7 linked regions of the Mus musculus genome follow. The protein of the gene in region 1 interacts with the protein of each later gene in a biochemical or structural test. Links are inferred from orthologs where the notes say so. Each region holds a gene or a part of one and is shown on either strand. Other genes may lie near its edges.

Evidence for each region.
Region 2: the proteins of Pcna (region 1) and Parp1 form a complex in vitro, tested with the Homo sapiens proteins (3 studies listed by BioGRID). The link is inferred for Mus musculus from reciprocal best matches to the Homo sapiens genes PCNA and PARP1.
Region 3: of the proteins of Pcna (region 1) and Rad18, one has a biochemical effect on the other in vitro, tested with the Homo sapiens proteins (21 studies listed by BioGRID, with this or other methods). The link is inferred for Mus musculus from reciprocal best matches to the Homo sapiens genes PCNA and RAD18.
Region 4: the proteins of Pcna (region 1) and Kmt5a form a complex in vitro, tested with the Homo sapiens proteins (4 studies listed by BioGRID, with this or other methods). The link is inferred for Mus musculus from reciprocal best matches to the Homo sapiens genes PCNA and KMT5A.
Region 5: the proteins of Pcna (region 1) and Chaf1a form a complex in vitro, tested with the Homo sapiens proteins (4 studies listed by BioGRID and IntAct). The link is inferred for Mus musculus from reciprocal best matches to the Homo sapiens genes PCNA and CHAF1A.
Region 6: the proteins of Pcna (region 1) and Pold1 form a complex in vitro, tested with the Homo sapiens proteins (4 studies listed by BioGRID, with this or other methods). The link is inferred for Mus musculus from reciprocal best matches to the Homo sapiens genes PCNA and POLD1.
Region 7: the proteins of Pcna (region 1) and Poll form a complex in vitro, tested with the Homo sapiens proteins (3 studies listed by BioGRID). The link is inferred for Mus musculus from reciprocal best matches to the Homo sapiens genes PCNA and POLL.

What each region holds. Positions count from the first base shown.
Region 1 is NC_000068.7:132,250,305-132,254,413, reverse strand, and holds the start of Pcna (proliferating cell nuclear antigen), read left to right. Parts: upstream 1-1,233; 5' UTR 1,234-1,377; coding exon 1,378-1,598; intron 1,599-2,413; coding exon 2,414-2,511; intron 2,512-2,655; coding exon 2,656-2,723; intron 2,724-2,975; coding exon 2,976-3,170; intron 3,171-4,109. UniProt on the Homo sapiens protein: Auxiliary protein of DNA polymerase delta and epsilon, is involved in the control of eukaryotic DNA replication by increasing the polymerase's processibility during elongation of the leading strand.
Region 2 is NC_000067.6:180,567,423-180,571,702, forward strand, and holds the start of Parp1 (poly [ADP-ribose] polymerase 1), read left to right. Parts: upstream 1-1,468; 5' UTR 1,469-1,611; coding exon 1,612-1,731; intron 1,732-4,280. UniProt on the Homo sapiens protein: Poly-ADP-ribosyltransferase that mediates poly-ADP-ribosylation of proteins and plays a key role in DNA repair.
Region 3 is NC_000072.6:112,679,648-112,683,230, reverse strand, and holds part of Rad18 (E3 ubiquitin-protein ligase RAD18), read left to right. Parts: intron 1-991; exon of another isoform or gene 992-1,198; intron 1,199-1,554; coding exon 1,555-1,892; intron 1,893-3,214; coding exon 3,215-3,314; intron 3,315-3,583. UniProt on the Homo sapiens protein: E3 ubiquitin-protein ligase involved in postreplication repair of UV-damaged DNA. Postreplication repair functions in gap-filling of a daughter strand on replication of damaged DNA.
Region 4 is NC_000071.6:124,448,499-124,451,998, forward strand, and holds part of Kmt5a (N-lysine methyltransferase KMT5A), read left to right. Parts: intron 1-2,162; coding exon 2,163-2,382; intron 2,383-2,787; coding exon 2,788-2,875; intron 2,876-3,500. UniProt on the Homo sapiens protein: Protein-lysine N-methyltransferase that monomethylates both histones and non-histone proteins. Specifically monomethylates 'Lys-20' of histone H4 (H4K20me1).
Region 5 is NC_000083.6:56,039,197-56,043,262, forward strand, and holds the start of Chaf1a (chromatin assembly factor 1 subunit A), read left to right. Parts: upstream 1-1,219; 5' UTR 1,220-1,315; coding exon 1,316-1,355; intron 1,356-4,066. UniProt on the Homo sapiens protein: Acts as a component of the histone chaperone complex chromatin assembly factor 1 (CAF-1), which assembles histone octamers onto DNA during replication and repair.
Region 6 is NC_000073.6:44,538,769-44,542,351, forward strand, and holds part of Pold1 (DNA polymerase delta catalytic subunit), read right to left. Parts: intron 3,483-3,583; coding exon 3,336-3,482; intron 3,257-3,335; coding exon 3,131-3,256; intron 3,055-3,130; coding exon 2,886-3,054; intron 2,804-2,885; coding exon 2,722-2,803; intron 2,637-2,721; coding exon 2,507-2,636; intron 2,243-2,506; coding exon 2,076-2,242; intron 1,862-2,075; coding exon 1,757-1,861; intron 735-1,756; coding exon 594-734; intron 397-593; coding exon 286-396; intron 197-285; coding exon 5-196; intron 1-4. UniProt on the Homo sapiens protein: As the catalytic component of the trimeric (Pol-delta3 complex) and tetrameric DNA polymerase delta complexes (Pol-delta4 complex), plays a crucial role in high fidelity genome replication, including in lagging strand synthesis, and repair.
Region 7 is NC_000085.6:45,557,718-45,562,027, forward strand, and holds the start of Poll (DNA polymerase lambda), read right to left. Parts: upstream 2,848-4,310; 5' UTR 2,769-2,847; intron 2,648-2,768; exon of another isoform or gene 2,480-2,647; intron 2,000-2,479; 5' UTR 1,975-1,999; coding exon 1,863-1,974; intron 1,203-1,862; coding exon 908-1,202; intron 699-907; coding exon 539-698; intron 316-538; coding exon 1-315. Other genes in the region: protein DPCD, read left to right, coding at 2,927-2,990.

The sequences.
Region 1 (4,109 bases):
TGAATAAGGAAAGAATAAATGAACATGAAATGGAATTAATATGCTCCTATGTAAACTTTTTCCCCTTTGGTCAGTCTTGGTAGATAGTCCAAGGTGAGTTTAAATCTAGGCCCTCCGACCTCAGCCTTCCCATGTGCTGGAATTATAATCACTAATCACTCTCACCAGCTAAAACGGTCCTTTTAACTTTCTGAAATTGTATATACCTTATTAGTGAAAAGCAAACAAACAAAAAACCCTTACACACATAAATAAAACATCACACACCAAAAGCTTTCTTCACAACTCAACCAACTTCTATACAGTTAGAAGAGGCATTCCAAATGGAAACTATCAAGTTTCACATTAAAGTATTACACTTTCATTATCAAATATATTTTACCTACCACCAAAACCAAAAGAAAAAAACATGAGAAATTGAAAAACTCTATATCCTTTTGTAAATGATGTTAATCTACCTGCAGTCAGTTCTTCCCCATCCTCATAATCAATAGGAAAAACAAAAAAACAAAAAAACTTTAGTAGAACAAAATGCTGCAGCCCAGGGACATATGAAAGACGCTCCACCTGCAACAGCTAACATTTTCAGGATGGGGCTCAGGCTCGGGTTCATCTTCAGCCTAAAATTAAGATGAAAATACTAGTAATATCTACCTTTAGAAAAATGTAGAGAACCAGACATAAAAGGAAAATAATTACGTGATACATATGGACTTGGTATCTTCTTTGGAGAAGCGTTCACGTTAAGAGGTATTTTTTTAGTCTTTAGAGAGAAAAGTTCAGAGCGACGCACACAGAAAAGTGATATGAAATGGGGGGGGGGGTAGGGGTGTTAAAATATGGTGGCCTCTTTATTACTCGATATTTTGCAGCGTATTTCTTACGTTAGGGAAAACGCTCCGTAGTGTTTAAAATACTCTCCAGCTTCAAGGCAGGCCGCCGCGCACAGCTCGATTTGCCTGTGACTTCCACTTCCGTGGCGCGGAAACTTCCTAAGGATGGAAACTGCAGCCTAAACTCCCACAAACTTGGGCGGTGACGACAGCCTACGCGAACCCCGTGATGCCCCTCGCCTCCCAGGCTCCTACCCCGCAGCCCCGCCTTTGCATACGCGGTGGGGCGGGCCTTGCTCAAACCACGGGTACGATTGGTCCTTGAGGAGAGGTGGGTGGATCAGCGCTGTGGCGTCATGACCTCGCGCAGGGAAAAGGCGCGCGCCTAGGAAGCCGCGGCATTAGACGGTTGCGGGCGCAGAGGGTTGGTAGTTGTCGCTGTAGGCCTTCGCTGCCGCTTCTGCATCGTGAATCGGGGGACCTTGGCAGCCAGACCTCGTTCCTCTTAGAGTAGCTCTCATCTAGTCGCCACAACTCCGCCACCATGTTTGAGGCACGCCTGATCCAGGGCTCCATCCTGAAGAAGGTGCTGGAGGCTCTCAAAGACCTCATCAATGAGGCCTGCTGGGACGTCAGCTCGGGCGGCGTGAACCTGCAGAGCATGGACTCGTCTCACGTCTCCTTGGTACAGCTTACTCTGCGCTCCGAAGGCTTCGACACATACCGCTGCGACCGCAACCTAGCCATGGGCGTGAACCTCACCAGGTGAGCGGGTGGCGGGAGCGGGGCCCCACTCTTCCCGCTTCCGCTCTTGGCGGGGCTGTGACTCTGCACGCTCATTGGCTGGCTTGGCCATCCGCGCTTTCTGATTGGTCTATGGTGTCGGGGGCAGCCCTCACCAAAGCGCGCGGTTCCGAAAAGCCCGCGCTGGCAGTGGCGCCCACTCTGTTTCCGCGCCAAAGCCACAAAGCGGGAGTCCGCGGGAAAATGAGTGCTCCGGAGCTGTGCTCATTAAATGCCTGCAGCTTTGAGTGGCTGGTCTTAGCGCCTAATAAACGAGTCTTAGTGCAAATGTAATGTCGACTTAGAGTGACAATAGACCTTTTCTTGACTTCCAGAGTCTCACTGCGCATCATGGATTTGAGGGGAAATCTGTCAGTTTTAGCTTTTAACTTTGCTACAGCTACCTAGGTTAGTGCCTCCTGTATACGTGTTCAAGGACAGTGTGTGACTTATTTTAGTACAGATACATGGATTAGTGCCACTTGTATACATTTTGAAAGATTTACGAAAAGGCCAGACGTGATGGGGCACATTCTCCAGTACACTAGAAACCAAGGACACCCCGCTCAAAAAGATGCTTTCTCGAATGTTGGCTTTTAGTGCATTTTACTAAGTCGGTTTTAAGAATCACATATACCCGGTAATTTGCTTCACCCCTGAGAGAGTTTGGGGTACCCTTAGCCCCTTTAACAGTTCTCCAACCGTGAGTGTGAAATGGTACAACTTGTAATTGCTTTTTAAAATATAGATGTGGATTACATGTTGATAAAGCCTGTCTTTTTTTTTTTCCCCCCTAGCATGTCCAAAATTCTAAAATGTGCTGGTAATGAAGACATCATTACATTAAGGGCTGAAGATAATGCAGACACCTTAGCACTAGTATTCGAAGCACCAAGTAAGTTAAACACCTTTAAAACTCGGTAGTTACGTGTTGTTTCTGTTTCTCAAAACCAAAAAAAAATATTAACAATATTGTAAAATTTCCATCATAGATAGGACCGTGTGGTGTGCTTTGGTAACATTTTCCTTCTTTTGGTAGATCAAGAGAAAGTTTCAGACTATGAAATGAAGTTAATGGACTTAGATGTGGAGCAACTTGGAATCCCAGTGAGTTACCTTGTTTCTGATTGTGTGTTACCCTGCTGTGATACCAGCTGATGCGTGTTCTGAGTGGAGTGGTGGTATTGGGGATGAATGGCACACTGCCATTTCACTAAACCACAGCAGTCTAAAGTTGATTGAGTTTTAAAGAAACCAGAAGTCTTGCATTCTGAGTTCTGGTTAAGATGCTAAATCTTGAGAACATGAAGCTGAGCCTTCCCCCTTTTCTAGACTGACCTTTAACTTGTGGGTTTACAGGAACAGGAGTACAGCTGTGTAATAAAGATGCCGTCGGGTGAATTTGCACGTATATGCCGAGACCTTAGCCACATTGGAGATGCTGTTGTGATATCCTGTGCAAAGAATGGGGTGAAGTTTTCTGCAAGTGGAGAGCTTGGCAATGGGAACATTAAGTTGTCACAAACAAGTAATGTGGATAAAGAAGAGGAGGCGGTGAGTAGTAAGGGGGCGTCCAGTTAGGTGTCTGAAGCAGGGATGGAGCCTCGGCTTTTGTTTTTATTTATTCATTCATTTTGAGATGGAGTCTTGAGTAGACCAAGCTATCTTAGAGCTCAGAGACGACTCCATAAGCTTTTACAGGTAGCATTTGGAAAGCTAAGTGTACAGCCTTTTGCTTCCTGGAAATACTCTTGGCAAATAAGTGAGGGTTGGCAAGTGAGCAAAAGAAAATGGTTGGGGGTGTATGTAGCTTTATGTGTTGCAGGTTCAAGAGTATTTGCAGTCCCAAGGGAAATAAGAAAGACTTCACAAAATGTGGAAAGAGTTGTATTAAATGCTCTTGACAGTTACATCCATAGAGAAAGCTGGGCATGATGTCTCAAACCCACAACTGTAGTACTCAAAGCTACAGCAGGAAGATTCTCAGCTTAAAGTCAACCTGGCAGAAAATCTAGCTCAAAAAGAATGAGGAAGAAATTGGGAAGGCAAAGGAAGATGTTCTCCGAGTCCTCCTCATTCAAGTAGAACATACTAGGCCTCTTTAATTTCTAAGTATCCCTGAATCGAGGCTTTTTCTCAGGAATCCAATGTATATTTCATGGCTACACTTTTTTTTTTCTTTTTTAAGTTTTGCTAGCTAGCCTGAGCATCAGAATTACACACAGAAGTCTGAACTAAATAGGATTTTTAGGGTTTAGTATAGTGAAATTCAGAGTGCTTACTGCAAGTATTTAAGGTAAATATAAGGTGTTACTTGGCCTCTGCATGAATTTAAAGTAAATGAAAGTGTAAGAATTCGAACATAGATAAACACACAACCCAAGAACTAGTTCTTAACCTTAATCTGCTGAATTATTTCTACTTCCATATCAACTTCAGCTCCTCAGTTCTCAAATACTGACATGTAATTCATCAGTATTTGTCTGATGTGCA
Region 2 (4,280 bases), on another chromosome or scaffold:
GATTAAAGGCCACCACGTCCGGCCTGTTTTTTTTTTTTTTGTTTGTTTGTTTGTTTATTGCAAGGGGGAGAGTATGGAGAGATGGCTCAGAGGTTAAAAGTACTGGTTACTCTTTCAGAGGACTTGGGTTCGAGTCCCAGTTCCTGCATGGCAGCTCACAACCATCTGTAACTTCCTCCAGTCAGGAGATATGAAAACGTCTTCTGGACTCAGCAAACACCAAACACACATGATATATAAATATTTATACAGGCAAAACATGCCTGCAATTCACACATTGTAATTTGGTCTGGGAGATTTTCTGTTTTTTAAGTCTGAGATAGGCTAGCCTGCCTGGTTTAGACCCTCTGCAGCAAAGGAGAATTTGCTGGGGTGGTTACCCACGGGATCAGTTACAAGGCAAAGTGGAAGGACCCCACTCCCTGGACTAGGTTAGGGAACAGCCATGTGTCCTGTCTCTCTCTGCCACGAGAGGGTCTCAACAAGGGAGGGCAGGGTTAGAAAAAGAGCAGCAACAGAGGAAGCACAAAGCAGATACCTAGAGCCAGTTCATACCTGCTCAATCAGGAATGATTCATAGACAAGTAGGCCACAGCTCACCAGCCAGTTTGCTGCCAGACATGCAGTTTACCCACACTTTAGGACACAGGCAAGTGGATCTCTGTGAGTTTGAAGCCGACTTCATCTTCATGGCCAGCCAGGGCTTTATAGTGAGACCCTGCATCACGCTCATATAATTATTAAAAAAAAAAAAAGACCAATAATGTTAAAGATTGTAGTGCTACATTAAATAACAAGATCTAACAGTAGCAAGTTTAACAATACCTATAACTTTAATTGTCGATAACCTAAAATATTTTGGGATCTCCCCAGGAAAATATCTGTTGCCGGAGATGGTGTCACACGCCCTTAATCCCAAGCACTCAGGAGGCAAAGGCACATGGATCCCTGTGAGTTCAAGGCCAGCCTGATCTACAGAACAAGTTTCAGGGCAGCCAGGGCAACACTGAGACACCCTGTCCTGTGTTAGCGCGGAGATGGGGGATGAGAACACACGACATCTGTTGTAACTACTACCAACTGTCACGGGTTCTGCTCATTCTCTTGGAATTTATAGTTATGCATTTAAGTTTACTAAGAATGAAAAATCAGGCTTTAGTTGGTTTTCTGTGTCAGCAATGTGGAGGCTGCAAAGCAGAATACTACACTTAGGGTCAGCAGGGTTCGCTCTAGACATACCTAGAAAAAAATGCAAGTGGGTGAGGTGGAATTATTTGGGCGAACAAAAAGCCTTTCTGGGACAAACCGACAAAAGGGGTGGCGCCTGTCAGATTCCCCGGGTCCCCGCCCTGGCCCCTTCCCAGAGGCAGAGACCAGCGTGCACAGGCGCAGTCGCGCTGGGACCCAACCTCCCAAGGACACGTGCTGAAGCCCCGCCCTATGAGCTGAGGCCCCGCCCTCCGCGCGCGAGCTTGGGGGGGCGGTCCCGCCGCTAGGCATCAGTAATCTATCCTGAGCGGAGGCGGCTCTGCACGCTTGCGGGGGAAACCGACACGTTAGCGGAGCGCACCAGCGGCGGCGTCGGGCTGCCGCTGCAGCACGAGAAGGAGGATGGCGGAGGCCTCGGAGAGGCTTTATCGAGTGGAGTACGCGAAGAGCGGGCGCGCCTCTTGCAAGAAATGCAGCGAGAGTATTCCCAAGGACTCCCTCCGCATGGCCATCATGGTGCAGGTGCGACGGGGCCGGGCCGGAGGCGCAGGGCGACGCGGCCTGGGCGGCTGTGTGGGCTCGGGGCCGCCTCACTCCGCCCTGCGGCTCAGCCGGACCGGGAGAGAAGGGCGGGAAAGACCCGCGGCGCTGCCGCGGAGGTCCTTGAGGCCCATTGGGCCGACCCCTTCCGGGACATTGCGCTTACCCTGCAAGAAAAGCCCGGGAAGTAAGAGCATCTGGCGTAAGTGCCTCTGGCTTTGTAAAGACAAGGGGCCTGCCTCTTCGCTGGGTCTGGATGGTCGCAGAGTTTTTGTTTATTTCACTGCCTTCTCGGCGTCGGGGTGGAGGGTGTGCGCGCGGTCTTTAAAGCTGCTCTGATTTGGGCCTATCTTGTCCCGGAAGATTATTGTCCTCCATGAATACAGAAGATTTTTTTTTCCCCTTAAGCCTATTTTTGATGATCCTTTCAACATCCGCTCACTCTCGGTATTTCTATTTTAGTTATGCAAAGCAGTGCCATTTCTTTACAGTGCATTCGCTTTGGGCCTGATTTCTACTTGGAAATAACATTTTCTCCAAACTTCCCGAGGTCTCGGCGCTTTCTGCAGCTATCTGGTCTCTTCACTGACGCTTCCGAGATGGTCAGGAGGTGGTGGGATGACGGGTCCTGGCGTTCCAGTGGCTCCTGCCTCCTAGGCTTCTGGTTTTGCAGATTCCTTCCCGTCTTTGCTAGTGTGGTTCTCACCTGCCCTGTTCCCACCTCCCCCAAACACTCAGTTACCCAAGCTCACGCTGCTAATGGTCGAGGCAATTGATTTCCCTTGCTGTCCAGCTGCAGTAATGTGTTTTAGAAGAGGCAGGCTAGCCCTCAATGGGGCTTCAGTTCTTAAGGGGGGGAGGGAAGGGGGAAAAGACATTCACCCAGTGGGTACCAAGATACCACACTGCTTCTATTATTTCTCCTTATGGGAAGAACTGAAGCTGTCATCTTGGTGCCCTCGGAGAGACTGCCTAGCTCAGCATTCTTGCTTGACACAGTTCTCATACATTCTATACATATTTATTAAGAAGCAGCTAGGCACGGTGTTAGTGTCTATAATTATCATTGGTGACAAAAATGTCGGGAACTGCTAGGGACGTCTTTGTTGCTTGCATTTATGACGGGATGGGGAACCCGTCCTGGGCTCCTCCTGCTAGGTTAAGGGGTATGGGAAGGATTGATAAGCCTTGTATCTGATGGAACTGAGTGCTAGGCAGAATGCCCTGGGGAGGAGAAGCCCAAGATGTCCCAGTCAAGTGTGGGAGCTTGATTAAGAGTTTTTATTCACAGAAGTGGGACAGGAAGATGGAGATAGCTAGAATTTGAAGGACAGTTGAAAGCCCCATTTCCCACTGAGGTCTTTGAACTTTACCCCACAGTTCCCTCCTCCCTGTGAGAAGATAAATAGAGCTCTCTGGGCTTAAGAGAAAGCAAATTTACATCCTTGCCAGTTTGTAGATTAAACCCATTATTCCCTCGGTCTTGAATATAGCAGGAAAGCAAAATAGTCTTCGGCTTATATTTTCATATTATTTTATGATTGGGGATTCCTCAATTGTAACAGCTAGTAGAGGGATATTAGTAAAGTATAAGGTAATGGTATGCCCAGAATTAGGTTGATTGGTTTTGAGACCAGATTTCAGGGCTGATGTCTGTGATGCTCTGGCCTCCATCCTGGAGTGCTGAGAATTACTGGCCTGCCTCTACTGCCACACCCAGCCTTTCAAATGGTTTTGTTTGGTTTTTGGGACCTGGCTTACTGTCATCCTGCTGGCCTTGAACTCAAAGAGATCCACCCGCCTCTTCCTCCCCAGTGATGAGATTAAAGTCGTGTGCTACTACACCTGGCCTTTGAAGTGACCCTTCCATACTTTACAGATTTTATTAGGCATCTGTACTAGCCAGAGAATAGCCGCTCTGTGAAAGATGACCCCCAATACTGCCTAGGAAGAGAGGAAAAAGAGGATTCTGGGTAGGCTGAGGCTGACCTAAATAACTTAACCTTCAAGGCCCTCCTCCTGGTTTTTTGTTTTTTTTTTTTTTTGACTGTGAGAGAAACTATTATTGTGAGTGACAGCGGTGCTCTTCCTTCCTTAGAGGAGCTTGGGAGTTTAGATCTGAGTTTAAAGTTGGGCTTTTACTCCAGAGCTTGGGAGGGCCGTCGTTGTAGAGCTTGAATTTAAATACCTTCTTTTACATTTGTATGAGAGGACTGTTCTCTGAGCATCCGATAAGCTGATATTTCCGAGCCCTGGGTGAGGCTGCCTAACTGGGAGGCAGAGGGATGACCCTGAAGGAACTGAGGATTTGCGCATTCTCTGAGCAGGGCCGTCTTCTTCCTGCAGGCAGGGCTCTCAGCCTGCCTTACCTGGAAGGAAATGGTGAACCTTGTGGTTGTTGGAGGCTGGGTCTAAGTCCTGGATTCTGTACCTGGCCTATTTCACGCCTCCTAGATAGAGACAAACAACTTAGGATGTCGGCCATTCCCACCAGTCCTCCCCAGGCCTTGGCATGGTCAGGGCTTTGTTTT
Region 3 (3,583 bases), on another chromosome or scaffold:
AAATTACACTGGAATTAGAATCTTCTGCTTCATCCTGCTGAGTGCTGAGGTTATCAGCATGTGCTGCCATCCTTAGCTTAGTTTTCCTTTATTTTTTTATCTTTTTCTTTTTTTTTTAAGTTGTGAAAAAATTTAAATATACATGAAAGTAGGGAAGGTAATATAGTGAACCAGCCTTCTTACTTACCGTGTACCTAACTTTTCCTATGAAAATGAAATCTTTTCCTCTTTTTATAATCTTTGTAGTCTTTGTTCCTGGCTCTTGTTCTTGGTCTTACCTTTGCATTGACTCAGGACGTCTTCTGCAGTTTTAGGAGAGAGATGGTGGTGGTTGGCATCTGTGCTTTGTTCAGTCTTGGGGGGAGGTAGCTCATTTGTTATCACTGATGGTTGATAAGAGTTGTGAGCTTTTATTGTTGTTGCTTTGTTTTTAAGTAGCATTTTATCAGATTGGTGAGTTCTAGGCCTGCCAGGGCTTTATATGAGACCCTGTACAGGGGGAAAAAAAAATACAAAAAGAAAGGAAAGGAAGGAAGGAAAGAGGCAGCACATTGACAAACCCAGAGCAGCAGGAAAGAAAAACTATACTTTTTGAAAGTAAATGCGTTTTGTTCTGACACGCAGTTACCTGACCGGCTCTTTGCTTTTGTTCTGTTAAGGGTTGGTGCAGTGTATTACTAGATTCTGTGTTAGTTTTCCTCACTTTTTCTGACCTCTGTCCCCACAGGTTACCTACCTCTAGTGAGGCTTTATGACTCATGTGCATACACGAGCTTTAGGTGTACAGATGGAAACACATATGCACACGTGCACATTTGTGTGAACACACTCTGTGCACAGAGCGGTCCCCTTTCCTAAGGTGCGACCTCTGACATCTCACCTCAGGCAGGCCACATGGTCTCCGTGAAGGTATCCATTTTGGCTGGGCTAAGCTGAGCATCTTTCTAGCACTGCCTCTGGCATCTGTTTACCAATGTCTGTTTCCTGCCAGGCTTGTGGCGTTTGGTCCTTGCATACCCTGGAGACGATTGCAGATGGGTGAGGGTTTCCTTCTCCTGGCTCCCTCCTACATGCCTAGCACACCGTCCCTCTCGTTCTCATCATCTCTGCCCAGAATTGTGCTCTCTTCTCCCTGGTCAGGGAGGTAACTTCTGCTTCGATGTCAGTTCAACGTACAAATCCGAGAAGGTGCTCCCAGGTGAAGGTCTTGGGTCAGGGTTGCATCACTTCATTTGTCTCTCTTCTCCCAGGGATCATACTTTTGGGTTGCTTGTGTCGTAGTGCTAACTGTTGCTTTATGTCTTTCTCCAGCTTTTACTTAGCCATTGTAGAGTAAGTGTCATATCAGCACCTAGAACCCAGTATACTCTTTAAGTTCTAGTCACTGCCTTTTAATAATGATTTCCTGCATTTTAAAAGAAACGTTTTAGTTTGATTGTGATTGTGACATAAGTTCTGTGTTTCAGAGGAACCAAGTATTAATTAGGGAGACTCAGTGTATTATGCATAACTTGGCATCTTATTTACCCATTTGTTTGTTTTGTGTGTTTCAAGGACTCACCTGTTGCAGTTTGCTTTAGAGTCACCACCCATATCTCCTGTGTCTTCCACCTCAAAGAAGGTTGTTGTTAAAGTGCATAATGCTGACGCCGCCCAACACCCTGTCAAACAGGCGAACAGGTTAATGGATAAGTTCCTGATTAGAGAAACTGGTGACTGTGTATTTGAGTTGTTGGGAAAAGAAAATGAGAGGAAATTCAGCCCTCAAAAAGAGCTAAGCACCTCTGCTGAGATTAAAGAGACAAGTCTCCTAGGAAAGCCGGTACTGGGGCTCTCGGATGCTAATGGTCCTGTGACTCCCTCTACATCCACTATGAAACTGGATACTAAAGGTAGGCAGCACTTTTATATGTGCACTTTTATACTTAAGGAAGTCTCACTTGTGTGGTGTGAGATTAATAGGCAGCACTTTTGAGGGGGAGAAAGACTGGACTGGGTTTCACCTCACCATGTCTCAGGCATTGATGCAGTCCGTGGTTAGGGCTTATTTTATTGGTATAGGACATGTACTTCAGTGAGCCTGACTTATTTCCTGGCTCTCCCAGAATGTCTCTGTAGCCAGTTTGTTATCTCACTCTTCCTACAGTATACTCAGGCTGACAGAATAGCTGAAAACTGACCGGATGTGCTACCTGGTCAGTAAATACCGATTGCCTGGAACCTGCCCTCCTCCTCTGTTTATATACTAGCTCTGGTGTTTCCATGCTGCAGTGGTGCAGAGTGGCCTAATGGTGACAGAGCCAGGATTATGGTATGAAGGGTCATCTGGAAAACTCACAGCCAGTCTTTAGGACCTTATCTTTTACTAAGAATGTGTGTTGTTTAGCAAACCCATACAACCCACAGTTGAAGGCCAGTAGTGTTTACTAGAAAATTGAAATTAGCTTATTAGTACTTGTATTTTTAAGGTTTTTTCTATTTTAGTTTTTGATTATGCGTATCAACATCTCAGCCTGGAGATCACTCCGTCTGTGGTTTTTGTTGTTATATTTTTATTTCATATGGACATGTTTTCAGCTCTTGTAGAATTTTTTTCTTTTTTATCCAAATGAAATCTTAGAATGGACCATAACATGTAAAATAGATACACTTCTCTGTGCTACTAAAAGAAGGAGTAGGGAGTCTGGGGACTCTGGTGCCACAAGCCTTCCTTCTTTGGAAACTGCATTTTGTGGGCACCTCCACATTCACTGCAACTCCACAAAGCTGCAGCTTTAGTAAGGAGGACCTGGCCCGGGAGCCAGGAGGTCAGTAGTTCAGCCAGATTGTAAGGAGCCAGCGAAGCCTTGGTTTCACTCCCAGGTGGAACTTGTTTACAGAGTTGCTGAGGCTGTGCTTGTCCTGTGTTAGATGTCCTGTGTGAGATGTCCTGTGTGAGATGTCCTGCGGCCTGGGGAGACTCAGCGCTGTGGTTTCCTAGTACCCTGTTTCCAGCTGGCTAACTCCCAAACCTAAGTGCAGCCTCTAGGCCCAGGGTTCTGATCATGGGACTTCCCGCAAAGCAGCTAGTTACTAGTAACCCGTTTGCCTGTTCTCCTGGCTCTTTTAAAGAGCATATCAGCTGGGATTCTGTCTTTAAATTACTGAAAGATGTCAGTGTAATTTTTGCCTGTTCTATGGCTAATAATGTCTCCCCCCTCTCTTTTAAATGCAGTGTCTTGTCCTGTTTGTGGGGTCAGCATTCCAGAAAATCATATCAATAAGCATTTAGACAGTTGTTTATCACGTGAAGAGAAGAAGGAGAGCCTGCGAAGGTGAGCACAGCCTCTGACCTGCCTTTGCACGATGCTTCTCTGCCTGATAGATGTCAATCAAAACCAGGACTCCCGTTGTCCTGGTGACTAGAACTTCTGTTTCCTTCCGTGTTTGATTTTCCCTTTAGTGCTGGTTACCTCTCCATCCTCTTGTTTTCCTTCTTCAGCTCACACTCTGCCATATTTCAGGAGCAGATTAGCGCTTGCTCTCTGATACATTATGATTTAGAGAAACTAGTGACTTAGAATTCACTTATCTTTTAAACTTT
Region 4 (3,500 bases), on another chromosome or scaffold:
CACTTGGAAGGAGGAGGCTCTGGCAAGCTGCAGCTCTTGTGAGTCCTGGGTGACACATCAGTCAGTTGAGAGGAGTCCCGTCTCATCCGTTGGGCTGTTTGGGGTGTAGAAGGGCTTTGAGATGTTGCCACTGCATCACCACATCTGTCTACATCCCTTGTGTCTACAGCTATCAGGAGGTTGCTTACCTGCCGCCCAGGCTTGGCCATAGCCACCTTGCATCCCTTCCAAAATCGGGCAGAGTGAATATTGTCCATACAATGCCGGTGGGGGCTTACTGATCCCTGGTGCTGTTAAATGGCAGTGATTAGGATTTGGGGTCACATGTACGTTGGAATGTCTGAGAAAGGCCAACATCTTGCCTAATTGTACCTTGGCACAGACATCTCAAGAGTTATCAACAGACCCATCATATCCATAGGGTTAGACCTGCCAGCCTGCCTAGAAGGGAAGGGTGGGGGGGAGTTGGGCTGATGGGACAGACTTGGAGGTTTTGTTTTCATTACATTTACTTATTGTGTATGTGTGCTTGTGTGTGTGTGTGTGGGAGGGGGGATTTGTGTGCTGCTATGTACATGTGGGCTTCAGAGGAAAACTTAGAGGAGTCGGTTTCCTCCTGTGAAGGTCCTGAGAAATCAGATTTGGGGAATTAGGCTTGGTGGCAGAGCTTTTACCTGCCACCCATCTTGTGTTCTCGATGGCACCCCCTTTGCCCAGCTTTTCCTGCTTTGTTTGCTGAGCAGGAATCGAAGTTTATTTGCTTATTTTGTAGAATCTGGGATAGAACCCAGAGACTGGGCATCTAGGCAGGCACTCTACCATTGAGCTAACTCCTATCTTCCCTCCTATCCCCACCCAAGACAACCTCTCCTGTAGCCCAGGCTAGCCTCAAACTCCCCCATACATCTGAGAATGGCCTTTAACTTGTTCTCTGTTTCCACCTCCCTAGTGTGCTGGGATTATAGGCCTGTGCTACCGTGCCAGGTTTTACTCAAGCTCTGTCCCCAGCTCCAAAGTGTGCACTTGGGTGATATTTTAGTGTGTCTGCTGTCACACAACTGCCACCTCTTATGTCCAGACCATTTTTTGTCTCCCTACAAAGAACATACTCATTGGTCCTCACTTTGCACTCCACCCCCACAGCTCTAGGCAGCCCTGAAACTCCTCTCTGCGTCTGCAGCCTTGCCCGTTGTGGACATTTCATGCAAATGAAGTCATAGGCTATGTAGCCTTTTGTGTTTGGCCTTTTACTCAGCGTGTACTCAGCGTGTTTGTCAGAGTCAGTCCCTGTTGTTCATAGTGTGTGTCAATGCTTTGTACCTTTTTATGGCTGAACCATAATCATCATTCCCAGTGTGGACAGACCGCATTTTAACTGTTTGTACACCGGGAGGGCTGTCGGGAATGTTTGCTCTCGGGCTAATGTGCATAAGCTACCACGTTTCATGTACAGAGTTTTTGTGTAGACATGTGTTTTTAATCCTGAGTAGATGTCAGAATGTGGAGTTGCTGGGTCACATGATAATTCTATGTTTAACTTTGTAAGGAAACCTAGAAACTCTTCTAAAATTGGTGTGCCATCTATCTCTGGGTAGTATATTAGTTATTTACTTTAAAAAGTAAATCATTAAATCCGTTTTTTAAAAATAGCACAGTTGACCAGCGGCACCAAATTTGCTGCTGTTATCAGCGAGGCTATTTGTTGTGTGCCTCATGACAGGATGCCTGCCTTCTGCCCAGGTGCCATCTGGAGAATCTCTGGGAGCCCGGGACGCCAACCTTTTTAGAAAGGGGGCTTGTTTGGCCAAGATTCTGCAGTGAAGCATGCCAGGCAGTGAGTGGGGAAGAGGTTGGGCTTTGTCCCCTCACTCCACCCACCAGTGCTCACTAGCTCTTGCTTTGGGACAGAGCGTCTTTTCTCGGGTGTGCAGGCCAGTGTCTGGAAGCCTCCAGCTTTGTTAGCACTTCGGCTTTCTCCCACACCCACATACAGAGGGCCAGGCCCTATCTCCAGGTACTTCTGCCTGATTGTCCCTTGTGGACACTGGCACAGTAGGCTCCAGCACCTTCCTGACCCTCACAGAGTGCTCCTACCCTAGCCTATCTGAGTGCTGACCAGTGCGTGGAGTGAATAAATCTATTTTCCACCTGTCCCGCTGCAGAGAAAAGGAACACCGGGAACGTTATACGAAGCGCTGTGAAGTCAGATGAACAGAAGAGCAAAGACACCAGGAGAGGTCCCCTGGCGCCTTTTCCAAACCAAAAATCCGAAGCAGCAGAACCTCCAAAAACTCCACCCCCATCATGTGATTCTACCAATGTAGCAGTCGCTAAGCAAGCCCTGAAAAAGTCCCTCAAGGGCAAACAGGCCCCTCGGAAAAAGTAAGTAGCCTGGAGTGAAGCCCTCTCCTAACACCACTTGGTTCCTGGGGCCTGGCTCAGGTGTGTACTGTGGTTGTGTAGTCTGCTGCTAGGCCTCTTCTCTTCTGAGTTACACGGTCTGGTTTTTCCCTCGTGTGTGTGTGTGTGGTGTGTGTGTGTGTGTGTGTGTGTGTGTGTGTAAGACAGAGAGTCAGAGTCCAGAGGTTAGGCCTCCCTCCCTATCTCTTCCCCCCCATCCCCCAGGAGTGAGCAGCTGTCTGGGACCCGCCCAGGTAGATAAGCAGACATGCACCTAGGTCCCAGTACACAGAAATATTTGAGGAACACGTTTATAGGGAGTTACCTCCTGGGTCGGAGCAGGGCAGCGGGCCTCATGTTTATTTTCTCCCCTCCCCTCTTAACCAGGTCTCAAGGGAAAACCCAGCAGAATAGAAAACTCACAGATTTCTACCCTGTGCGGAGGAGTTCCCGGAAGAGCAAAGCTGAGCTGCAGGTAAGGTCTGATCCGCTGCAGCGGGGAGAGGCAAGCAGCCAGGGTGGGGGTGGGGGTGGGGTGTTTAGCGTGTGTAGGGAAGCCTGGGTGAGATCGTCCTCTGCTTGCTCTACCTTCCTGGTGAGGCAGGAGGCATTCTTAAGACCCTGGTACCTTGTACTTGATGCCGTAGAACAATCAGACTGGCTTTTCCACGGTGTTTTGGCAGCGCGTTTGGAGCCTAGAACTGTGGGGAAAGCTGCCTGTTGTGTCTTCAGCCTGTTTCTAAAGAACAGTAGCTTAGAAGTGCTTACTGATTGCTGGTGGACTGCACTGTTGTGTCTGTAAAATGGCCCTGTAAAGTCCAGGGATGGAGACACCTATAATCCTGGTACTCAGGACGGAGTTGAGAGAATGGACAGAAGTTCTGACAGAGTGGTTAGGTCTGAACACCAAGTTCCAGTCCAGACTGGGCTCCATAGCAAGACCCTGCCTCATAAAGGAAAAGATCCGGTAGTGAGTTGTTATGAAAATAAAGGAAGTAGATTCACACCGATGCGGTGGTGAATCCAGCACTCAGGAGATTGAGGCCAGATCTCCATTTTGAGATCACCCTTGGCTACATAAAAAAACTCTGTCTGAAAGC
Region 5 (4,066 bases), on another chromosome or scaffold:
CAGCAGCAACAACAACAAGAAAAGATTTAGAAACTAGTGATTGGGTTCCAGATCAGCAAGGCTACATAGTGAGATTCTGTCTTAAAATTAAAAACAAAAACAAAAGACAGAGGCAATTATTCTTTTGTTGTTGTTGTTGTTTTTGAGACAGGGTTTCTCTGTATAGCCCAGGCTGTCCTGGAACTCACTCTGCAGACCAGGCTGGCCTCAAACTCAGAAATCCACCTGCCTCTGCCTCCAGAGTGCTGGGATTAAAGGCCGGCTGAAAAACATTTTTTTATACATCGTATCACTGGCTGTCTTGGATCTTGCTATGTAGATCAGGTTGTCCTCGAACTCAGAGATCCACCTGCTTGTAAATCCCAAGTACTAGGATTAAAAGCATGAAGCACCAGACTCAATTTTTTTCATTTAATATTCTTCAAAGTAATTTACACGAAAAGAAGGAATATATGGTTGAAAAGATTTATAATTTTACAATAGAAAAACATTCCTAATTTTAAAATAAAGCAAATTGTTAATTTATTAAAAAGTGGTTCATCATTTCAAAAATGAAATGCCCAGCTGTAACATTTTTAGAAAGAGTTTATATCCGGGCAATGGTGGCACACGCCTTTAATCCCAGCACTTGGGAGACAGAGGTAGGCAGATTTCTGAGTTCAAGGCCAGCCTGGTCTACAGAGTGAGTTCCAGGACAGCCAGGGCTACAAAGAGAAACCCTGTCTCGAAAAAAAATTATAGTTAAAAGAGAAATTAATGCAAGAAATAAAATTAAAGGAAGTAATTCTCTAATTACAATGGCTACTTTCAACCCGTCACTATTATACCTTAATTCCCATTACTCTTCCAATGGGTAATTTCAAGTTGTCACTACTAATCTAAACGTACCCTTCCCACCTCCTGGAACGCATATAGCCAATAAAAGGGGTGTGGGGGGTGTGCAAACGCTGATATTTTAGATTGACATTTCTTAGGATCAATAGAAATGCAGATCTTCCCAGCAGCTCCTGAACCGCCGGAAAGGAGCCTTCATCCGCCTCCCGCGGGATTTTCTAGCACATAAACCGAAGTTCTCGCGAGGACGTACTGAGTGCACCTCTTTTTCCGGAGGCTGAGGTGTCACGTGACGCAAGCTCCTCCAATCGGCGCGCGGGCCGCGGTGGTTGCCGCGGTTCCCGCCAAATACGAGCGCGGCGGCCGCGGCGGCAGCAGAAGTGACACCGGTGGGAGGCGGAGTGTGCAGCCTGGCCGCCCGACTGAAGCCTGAGCCGCCGCCGCCGCCGCCGCCGCCGCCGCCGCCGCCGCCGTCGCGGAGATGTTGGAGGAGCCGGAGGCCGCGACGCGGACAGCCGCGGGTGGGTGAAACTGCCTAAAGGAGCGGATCCAAGCCTAAGTGGCCTCGGGGCGGAGACCAGGAGAAGGGAGGGCTCTTAGGAAACTGAGGCCTCGGGGAGGGGGAAGAGTCAGCTTCGCAAGCTCCCGAAGGCATCTTGTGTCGCCTAAATAGCTGGAGTAAATGGGGAAACCGAGGCCCCGAGTTGGATTTGATGGATCCTGAGTGCTTGTGTCCTCTTGAAATCAATTGGATCTTGTAGCAGCAAGTGGAGAAACTGAGGGCAAGGAGAAGAAAAGTCAGTCGTACAAGTTATTAAGTGCGTTTGTGAATTCCAGAGCAGTTCGGACCTTTGCAATGGGCGGGGAAATTGAGGCCCGTGCTCACTTGAGCTCTGGACACCAGAGTAGCAGCAACTCTGCGGGGCAGGGCTAGTCCAGGAAGGTCGGTTTGGGTGGTTAAAGCATAGCCAGGAACCCTTTCTGGGTCCCGAAAAGGGGCCCTTTGTGAGTGTGGTATGGACCAGTCGGGTACGTGTTAGGAGTCTTTGTAGCATGCGGTAGGCTTCCCGAAATGTGGGGTGCCTATTCCCCGCTAAATTGTATCCCCAGTGTGTGTTGAACGATTGAGGGGCTGGAAAAGACGAGGTCGGTCCTGATAGACTAAGATTTCTCCAATTGAGCACCACTGACTAGACAGCCCTTCTGGGTACATTACACTAGTCTGCAAGCTCGGAGATGAGGGGAATTGGGGATGGCCAATTTCAGGATGGAGAGCCGCATCCTCAATCTCCATCCACTTCTGGGATAACTCTGGCCCCTTTTACAGTTCTGATCATCAAAGATACACACACACACACACACACACACACACACACACACACACACACACACCCTTCACAGCCTGGTATTCCAGGAAGGCTGGAGCTGTTGTTCTGACTGGCTTGAGAATTTTATGTGGGCATTAATAGTCGTACAATTCCTGGACTCTCATGGAGCATTGTTTTTATTTAACCAAGGTGGAACGTTTAAAACCGACACTATTGCTCTGGCAATAAAGACCAGTTTGGTGTAGCAGTTCATACCTGCAGTTCAGCATCCTAGAAGCTGAGGCAGGAGGATGATGAATTTCAGGTTGATCTGGCCTCTGACCACCTGAATTGTATCCTGGGAAGAAGAGAATCAATTCCACAAGCCTGTATCCAATAAATTAATTAAAGTGGAATAAAACTTTTAAAGAAAAAAGTGTCCTTCGGGGGGGGGTGGCTTTTTTTTTTAAAATAGAAAATTGAGGTGATGTTACCTTCCATTCAAATGAGAAGAAGGGAGAGTGTTCTGGGGGTCCGAGTCTCTAAGTTGGTGTGCCTGGGCTGTTTCTACTCTGGATAGCTGAGGTTGTAGGAAAGCTTAAGTCTGAATTGCATGCAACATTAGCAAAATGTATGGGAATTCACCCCAAATTACTGATGGAGTTTCTATGCACCCAAGGCATTTACCTATGGCAGGTTCTCATCTGGGTGTGGTGGCACACACCTTTAATCCCAGCAGCACTCAGAGGCAGATGCAAGTGGATCTCTGAGTTTGAGGCCGGCCTGATCTACATAGCAAGTTCAAGACAATCAAGACTATGTAGAGAGTCTCAAAACAAACAAAAAGACAGGCTCTATTTATGGTCTAATATACATGGGTTTTAATGTGCTTACTTATTCTTGCGACTTTAAATTCATTTTAGTGGGAGATAATCTCTTTCATGAGGTCTTTAATTTGTTTCTTTTTTGTAGTTATTAGTTTTAGACCAGGTCCCCATGTAGCCCAGGCAAGCCTCTAACTCCAAGTGTTAACATGCCCTAGTTTATGCAAGGCTAGGATGGAACTTAGACACTCCTACATGTTAGGTCAGCATGCTACCCATTGAGCCCAACCCCAGGTTCTTTATTGTGTCTTGACATGAGTACAGATTCTGCAACGAAATTTATTCATTTCATCTATTTAAGAGTAGGATACCTTCACTTAAAAAAATTGGTTTTGTTTACTTAAAGATTTATTTCTTGTTATGTGTCTGTGTATGTCTATGCACATGAGCTAGGTGCCCATGGAAGCCAGAGAGGGCACTGGATCCCTTGGTGCTAGACTTTCGGTGGTTGGTTATGAACTGTTGGATCTGGGATCAGAACAGCAAGTGCTTTTAGTTTCTGATCCATTTGTCCAGTCACACTCACTGTGTCTGTGTGAATCAGTTCTTCCCTTCCCCCATGTGGGTCCTGAGGATTGAGCTTTAGAGTCAGGAGGCTTGGAAAGTCCCCCTCCCTACTCACTGAACCATCTTGTCAGCCCTCACTTGACTTTTGGGACATTTTTGGACAGTTGAGCCTTAACTGACCTAGAAGAAGGGCCATAATGCAAGTTTCTGAGTGAGGGACTCAGGAGGGACTGAGTCTAGGGTAGTGTTGCTCAGTGTTGACATTTTGAGCCAAATAATTTTTTGTTGTGGGACTGACTTGTTCATTGTAGATTGTTTATAGGGAGTGCCTGTATAGTAACTGAAAGTGAGTAGCATCCCCAAACCTTCCCCAGCCATGAAGACTGCCTCTGGGGGCTCAGAATGGGGCATAAGGGTCAGGGTACTTGCTGTTAAGTCTGACCACTTGGGCTCTGCCATTAGAACCTACAAGTAGACCAACAGGACTGACTCCTGCAAGTTGATATGTTCTGTGACACTCCATGTGGCAATGTG
Region 6 (3,583 bases), on another chromosome or scaffold:
TCACCTGGCGCAGCAGCTGAGACACGACCTTGACCTGCTGGCCCCGGGTGAGCAGGTACCCAAGGGGTACACCCGTGACACGCGCCATCTCCACATTATTCACCAGCACCATAAGGCGCTCTAGTAGTCGGAGTGGCAGAAAGGCGTCCTTCAGGCAGTACACGGCCAGGCGGCGGCGCGTCTGTTCGTTCCCATTCTGGGGATGGGCATGTGGGGTCAGGGGCTCAGTCAGTCAGGGGCTCAGCCAGGAGGGAGGCGGGGAGGGACTTGGTGGAGTGGCGGCACCTGCAGGTCGGTGATGATGCTGTGCTGAACGTCCTCCTTCTGCTCGCCCAGGAAGTGGAAACTCACAGCGTTGAGCGTGTAGGAGCGGAGCTTGTGTTCCCGAAGCAGCACCTGCGCAGGTTGGGGTGGGGCGGGGCCTCAGAGGTGTGGGGAAGGGTATCTCCACGCAACCTCAAGAGTCGTGGGATGGGGTCTAGAGGGTCTGTGGTACTTAGGTGGGTGGGTCAGGGTGCCGCCTCAGGTGGGTGGAGCTTCTGTTTAAGGCAGCGTGTTGGGGGCTGGGGAGGGCGAGTGGGGTTCCTACATACCTGCAGCATATCCATCTGAACGCGACCCACCATGCTGATCACCTTACTGTCCCGCCGGCCGACCTGCCTTGATTGGAAGGAGGAGTCACGGATGTTGGAGCGGAGACCAGTCACGCGGCCCAGGAAAGGGAAGCGGTCCACCTGAGGAGCATGGGGAGAGCCTTGCTGTGGTGCAGACCTGTCAGCTCAACTCTGAATCTAGCCTTAGGCCCTCAGAACAGGGACAGAGACCAGCCATGGCACTCCTGGGTCTGGAGAAGATGAGCTGCAGGCGGAGACTGCTTGGGTGGGACGAGGTATTGATCAGGGACAGAGTTGAGAGCTATAGCCCCGGGGAGACTGAGAGACTGGGGGCCTGATGGGCTATAGGTAGAGACATGGACTATTGGGGGAGGGCAGAGAAGACAACAGGGGCGGCGCTGGGGTACAGTCTGGCAGAGAGAGGGAGTCTTAGAGGAGAGGGGCTGAGGGTGAGGTGCCCAGGACACAATGGTAGGGTCTCCCTGCAGCCAGGCAGTGAAGTCGGCTCTGCCTACTCATCACCAAATGGGCTACAGCTGCAGAAAGCAGGAAAGTGATACAGTGTATCCTGTTCGGGCAGATTCCCCTCTGTGCATCGCCCAGGACCCCTCTTGTAACAGAGCTTGCCCTAGAAAAAGGACGCAGGGAGACTTGACTGAGGCACAGAAGAAAGGCCCAAGCAGATGCAGCCCAGGAAGGCCATTAGAACCAGGCCCAGGAGGGGAGGGCCTGCCTGCCCTCAGGCTCACTAACACCCAGAGGGTCACCTCTGCAGCCTCCTGCACCGGGTAAGTGTGCAGCTGGCTACAGTGGAAGTGTGAAAAGGCTCACTCTTCCCTTTCCATAGCACCCAGCCTTTGCCGCGCTCCAAAGCATGTACCCCTTTCCTCTTCCATGCCCCCGTTTCCCCTTCCCCCTTGCCAGTGAATTCTAAAGGAGGCCTGGCTATGGAGGCAGAGACAGTGACGCAGTGACGGTGATGGTGTGGAGGGCCGGACTCTCAAGGCGCCCGCCTCCTGTCCACAGCGACGAATTTCCGGCTCCAGCTAAAGTGAGGTAACGCACACCTGGACTCCAGAGCAGCCGGCTGGCCCGGGGCAAGGATGGCCTCGAGGGATGGGAAAAGATCCAGCTTCCCTCACCTTTAGGGCCTGTGCCCGAGAGATGAGGTATGGGAGGTCAAAGTTCTGAATGTTGTAGCCGGTGATCACGTCAGGGTCCATGGCAAGGATGAAGTCGGCCCAGGCCTGTGGAGGGGACGGACACAAAGGCCAACCAGGCTGTCTTTACCTCAGCTACCTTCTCTTCAGAATATCCAAGACAACCTCCGCACTTGCAAAAACGCCGTGGAACTCAGGAAAACACACAGCCCAACCCCGAGGACACGGTGTCGTCCTAGAGAAGGGTCACTGGCATGGCTGGGGACACAGGGCAGGTGGCACCTGAGGAGGGAGGACCCACCTGGAGCAGGTCTTCTTCCCGCTCATAGCTCTGCACTTTGGCACCCAGGATGGGGGCACAGGGCCGCAGCGTGAGTGCCAGACGCAAGAATGGCTCCGGCTCCCCCCAGCGCAGCCCCAGAGAACAGATCTGGATCACGGGGTCACGCTCAGGCTCAGGGAAGATGCCTGCAGAGGGGAAGACACAGGGACCTCATTCCTGCTCGTCCCCTGTCCCGGTCCATCCACGGTCCCCACACCTGCTCATCCACAGCCTCTCAGCTCCAGCCCCTGTTCCAGCCACATGGGTGGGACAGCCCCAGGCCCTGGTGCCTTTGTGCTCAGGGCTCTCTCTGTAGGGAGCACTCCTTCCACCCACTCACCCCTCCACAGGGGCCTGGCACATCACCAATGCCCAGACAGAGAGAAGGAGCCCAGGCTCCCGGGACAAACCTTTTCGGCCAGCACACTCGATGTCGAAGCTAAGCACACGCAGGGGTGCAATGCGCTGCCACTGCCCCTCCGGTGGGTGACTGATCACATCTGACCACAGCACGTCCACCTCCAGCTGACACAGGGTGGCCTGGGGAAAGGTAGCGGGTTGCACAAGGTAGGAGCGACATCGGCACCAGGTCCTGGCTCCCCACCCCGCCCCGGGGTGCTCTTACCTTCTTCTCCGCCCTCCGAACGTACTTTCCAGCTGGCAGCTCCAACCAGTTGCATCCCACAATGTCAGCATCCACCATGAACCTGGAAGAGTGGCGTGTCAGTTGGCAAGGGCCGCCTGAGGGGACTGAGGCGGGAGTAGGGCAAAGGGGAGACAGGACAGCACCGGATCTCAAAGTCCACGTTGGCTTCGTAGGGTGCGAAGCTCGGGGTGCCCAGGCCTGGCACTCGGACACCCTGTTCCAGAAGGCGGCGGGCTGGTGCCATAAGGCGGGGTAGTGCCAGGGTGATGCGGAGAAATGGAGAAGGGCCATGACCGTGGTACCCAAACATGCCTGCGGAGAAAGGAGGTTGGCACACACCTACCAGGGCACCCTACCCCCACCCCCCACCCCCCCAGGCCACACTCACTCTCACGGGAGCATAGCTCTATTGCCAGCACTGCCGGCCCTGAGAGCTCCTTCCCACCGCGCTGGTCCCGGCTGATGGCTGCGTTCAGCTCCTGCTGCAGCTCACTCAGGTGCTCGGCCCCAAAACCTGGTGTAGGAGGCCAGTCAGAAGAGCAAAGGAAATTCTGGAGTCCAGGAACAAGGCCCTCAGGTCAGGGAACACTCACCAGGAGGCGCGGGGGTGTAGAAGTAGGGGGCAAAGCCCTGTATGTGGCAGCAGACGGAGAAGCCTTCATCGGTGACCCCAAAGGCCCTCAGTATGGGCACTGAGTTCCGGGATGGCAGGGGCCCTTCTGGCAGGGGTGGTGCTGAGCCTAGGGGAGGGGTCCGAGAACACCCCTCAGGACCGGAGGCCACACTGAAGGATGTCACTGATGCCTCGGGGCCTCGCCCTTCACAGTCCTTCCTGATGCCC
Region 7 (4,310 bases), on another chromosome or scaffold:
GTAGGAGCTGACAGGCTTGTGGAAGCTCTTGAGAGCATTGATGGCCTTTGCATAGCCCAGGGCCCTCCACTTGTCTCCCTGGACACTGTAGGCTTTAGCCAGCACTTCCAGCTTCTCTGTGATGTGCAGATTGTAGTTAGTTGCCTTCTGGCTCGAGGGCTGTGCACAGACCCATTTATCCAGAGCTTCTGGTGCTGGGTCAGGCCCACCATCTTCCTCAGGGGGAGTGGGGTAGTGCCCAGTGATCAAGGCTTGCAGATCTGCTGAGCTAACCTGGGGCCCTTCTCCATCGCTGGTTTCATCCTCTGAGCTGAGCTGCAAATAGAAGAAGAGAGCGCTGTCTGGTGGGGAGGCGTCTCCTGCTTTGACTCAAGGAAAAGACCCCAGCCTGGGGCAGACATAACTAGTTGAATGCAGAACTGAAAAATGTTGGGAAGAGATGGACAGGTGCATAATTGAGAGAGACCTAGAATTTTCTGTCTAACCTCCAGGTCCTTCCATTTCTGTGATCAGCACCCTGGGCTGGGAGGCTCCTCACCTGGGCTTGGGTTCTTGATGGCTTTTCTGCCGTTGGGGGAGGAGATACAGCTCTGGTGTGAGGAGGGGAAAGAGAAAGGGTGGTCCTGGGTAAATCCCGCTGGGTGCCAGGAGCAGAAGCATCTTGGCCTGACTTGCTGGGCTGTGGTTCATCCAAGGACCTAGAGGGCAGGGGAGGTCACAGAGAGTTAGGGTATCAAATTCTTACCTGTCTCTGTCCCCCACCCCCACCCCAATCTTTCTCTATACAGAAACCTTGGTTTCCAAATATGTCCAATTTAAAAAGTACGAGTGTTTTTTTTTTCAATAACTCAAGATGGAAACTCAAACATCATCAACAAACACCTGAGAAAGGCTAAGAGCTGCCAACCTCTTGGGCATGGGAAGGCTGAATCCTTCCGTGTCTGTCAGCCTTCCCTCCTGCAGGCACAAGCTCAGCCAGGTGGACTTCACCAGCTGGGCACCAGGGGGTAGCTGGGGCAACCTGAGGAGCCGGAGAGCCCGCTCATAGTCCATGTCTTCATCCACCACAATGTGAGTGACTCCTGGGGCCTGGGCAGAGCACACCTGGCCGCCATGGTGGATAATCTGCTTCTCAAAGAGTTCAGCCCGGGCACGTCCAATGCCAGCGGGCATAATGTGGGCTCTCAGGGAGCTCAGCCATCCTGTGGAGAGGATATTCAAGTGGTATCACCATAGCTATTATTATTATTATTAATTTTATTGCACTATTATTTGAGATAGGGTCTCATGTAGCCCAGGCTGGCCTCAAACTGACTATGTAGCAGAGGATAACCTTGAGTTTCTGATTCTCCTGCCTTGACCTCTAAGAGCTGGGATTACAGTTGTAGGTCAGAGCTATAATGAACTGTTCGAAGCCACCTCCCTTCCTTTTCCTGCCATCCAGAGAACAAAATACCTTCAAAGAATTCTACCGCAAACGTACAACAAACTTCCTTTTTTTGGGGGGGGGTGGTTAGTTTCAAGACAGGGTTTCTCTGTGTAGCCCTGGCTGTTCTGGAACTCACTCTGTAGACCAGGCTGGCCTCGAACTCAGAAATCTGCCTGCCTCTGCTTCCCAAGTGCTGGGATTAAAGGCTAAAGGCTTGCTTGCTAGCGATACCCCCCAGGGGTTTTTTGTTTTTGTTTTTGCTTTTGTTTTGTTTTGTTTTTTTCAGCAAACTTCCTTTTTTGTTGTTTTGTTTTGCTTTTCGAGTTTGAGGCCAACCTGATCTTGGCCACAGGTTAGGTCACTTCTGTTAATCTGACTCTAGCTGAAAACAAGAAGGCTGAACGTTCCAGTGTGTGAGGGTGGACCGGCTCACCTCTAGCTTCTCCCACCTCCCTTTTGGGAATCTTTGCAAGTGCTTTTGAAGATAGATCTGCATGACTTTTCTTCCGCTTGGGAAAGGCCTTCACGATGCCCTGAGGGTCCATTGAAGGGCGCTGGATCCTGGCCTTTCTGTTAAAGGATTGAGAGCCAGCCCTTAATAATTTGGCATAGAGGTGGGGTTTAGGGGTAACAGGTCCCTTTCTCAGAGGTCTCGGAAACCCCAGTTAAACTTAAGTGATTTAATCCGAGTGCCACACACACATACCAGCCTTTCAACCCTAGTCGTACTGAGGGAAGCCAGGGAAAGGTTGGGATTCTTGTGGGTGTAGGGGAGGTGTGGATCGAAAGGAAACAACATGGGGTGGGGGTGGGGGGAGGAATATAGCGCAGAGTCAGCCTCTGCGTCCCCTTCCAAGAGACTTTTCCAAAATGATGACGGGTTTGGGAACCGGACTACATCTTTAGGAGAGTCTTCATCTCCCCAACGAATTGGAGTCTAAGGGACATGTCACATAAACCTCGCATCATCTTTCTCTAGCCTCAATGTGCATTCGCAGAAGAAAACCTGGGGAGTGAGGCTTCAGGGAAAGTTGTGGGCACGCTGCGCACCTGTCCCTGTCGCAGCAGCCCCATCGCGCGGGTCTGAGCCCCGCAGCTGCAGGGAGGTGGAGTGCAGCCGCAGCAGATGTAGGGAGCCCTCACAGCTGGAGGTGGGCAAGACCGAAGCAGACGTGCCACATCCACTGTGAGCAGCTGGTGTGAACCAGGGACTCCCAGCTGGGGCCAGAAGAGAGTTGGTGCTGGATCCCTAAAAGTTCTGGGAGCATCCCCACCCCACCCGGCCCCAGGACCGGTCCAAAGTAGGTTAGAATCTCCCGGCAAAGAGAAATAAACTCACCATGGGAGCCAATGAAAACGGATTGGGGGAGGAAGGGGTAGAGGGGAAAAAAAAAAAAAAAAATCAGTTCCCAGAATACTTCCCGGGTCATCCGGAAGTGATCATCGGTCGGGTAGTTGCCATGGCAGTGGCCCGGCGCGTTCCTGGGCGGAGGGAAGATGGCGGTGACTAGCTGGTTGGAGGTTTTGCGGTCGGCCGAGAAGACGGCACTGCTGCAGGATGGTAACTCGAGACCCCTCGTCCTTCCCCCCAGGGCGGGCTCTATGCGCCCGCTCCCCCAGGGAGGGCCTCAGCCTGGGTGGGCAGAGCTGGACCTGTCGCAGCAGCCTACAGCCATGCCAGCTTCCTGCTTTTGCAGAGGAAACCGGCCCAGGGAGATGACCCGAGTGGAACCCAAGTCTTTGGTCACCCACCTCAAGAGTTCCTTATATCATCTCTCCCCGCTCAGAGTTTTGTTGGTATTTCCCAATAATTCATTTTACATTCATCATCGTCCCTCAGGGCTGTACCAAGAGGCTAATTCTGCACCCCATTTGACTGACGAGGAAACTGAAACCCAGGAAGGTTTTAGACCAAACCCAGGTTTTGCAGATAATCAGGTATAATTCGTCATCTGGGATCCATGCAGCTCAATTTGGGGGTCCTATTGATGACAGCAGCCCCAATGGCATAGAAAGGAGACACCAGGGTTTTAGATCAACTCTAACATCGATTCACCTCTTCAGTTGTTAGGACCCCATTTTCTTCAATTATAAAATGAAGTGGGTGGGCTACCAGTGTTGTTTCTAAGGTCCTTGTTTTCTTTTTCTTTTCTTTCTTTTTTTTATTTTAAAGATTTATTTATTTTTTTATTATATGTAAGTACACTGTAGCTGTCTTCAGACACACCAGAAGAGGGAGTCAGATCTCGTTACGGATGGTTGTGAGCCACCATGTGGTTGCCGGGATTTGAACTCAGGACCTTCAGAAGAGCAGTCGGGTGCTCTTACCTGTTGAGCCATCTCACCAGCCCAGGTCCTTGTTTTCTAACTATGTTTTGTTTATGATGTGGATTTTAAATTGCCCCCTGATCTTTAGGGGAGATAGAGCAAGGGCTAAGGTCTAAATGACTAAGAACAGGAGCTTGAGATGTCAGCTTTTCCTCATCCTGCAAGTGGCCAGTTTAAGTGCCCTGTGCCCCTGAGGTCTTTCACAGACCCACCCACCTGGCAGCCAGGGTGCCTTAGGTCTGAATTCCTGAGGCTTTAAAGCTAACAGCTAGCTTTAAAACATCCACAGGCAGGTGCCTGAAGTTTACAGAAATTAAAATCAGGTTTCATTTGCTCCTACCCTACAGCATTTAGGGAACCCATTGCCATGTGCCAAATTCTGTGCTAGAGCAGATAGAAAAAACAGACAATAGCAAAGTTAAAACAAACAAGAAGACGACAACCATGGCTTATGCTTTCCTGGGATCATAAAATTATCAAGAAAAAAATATGTAAGGAAATAGCAGCTTGTATTAAATAGAGGTTGGGATCTTAGAAAGGCAAGGATAGCCCC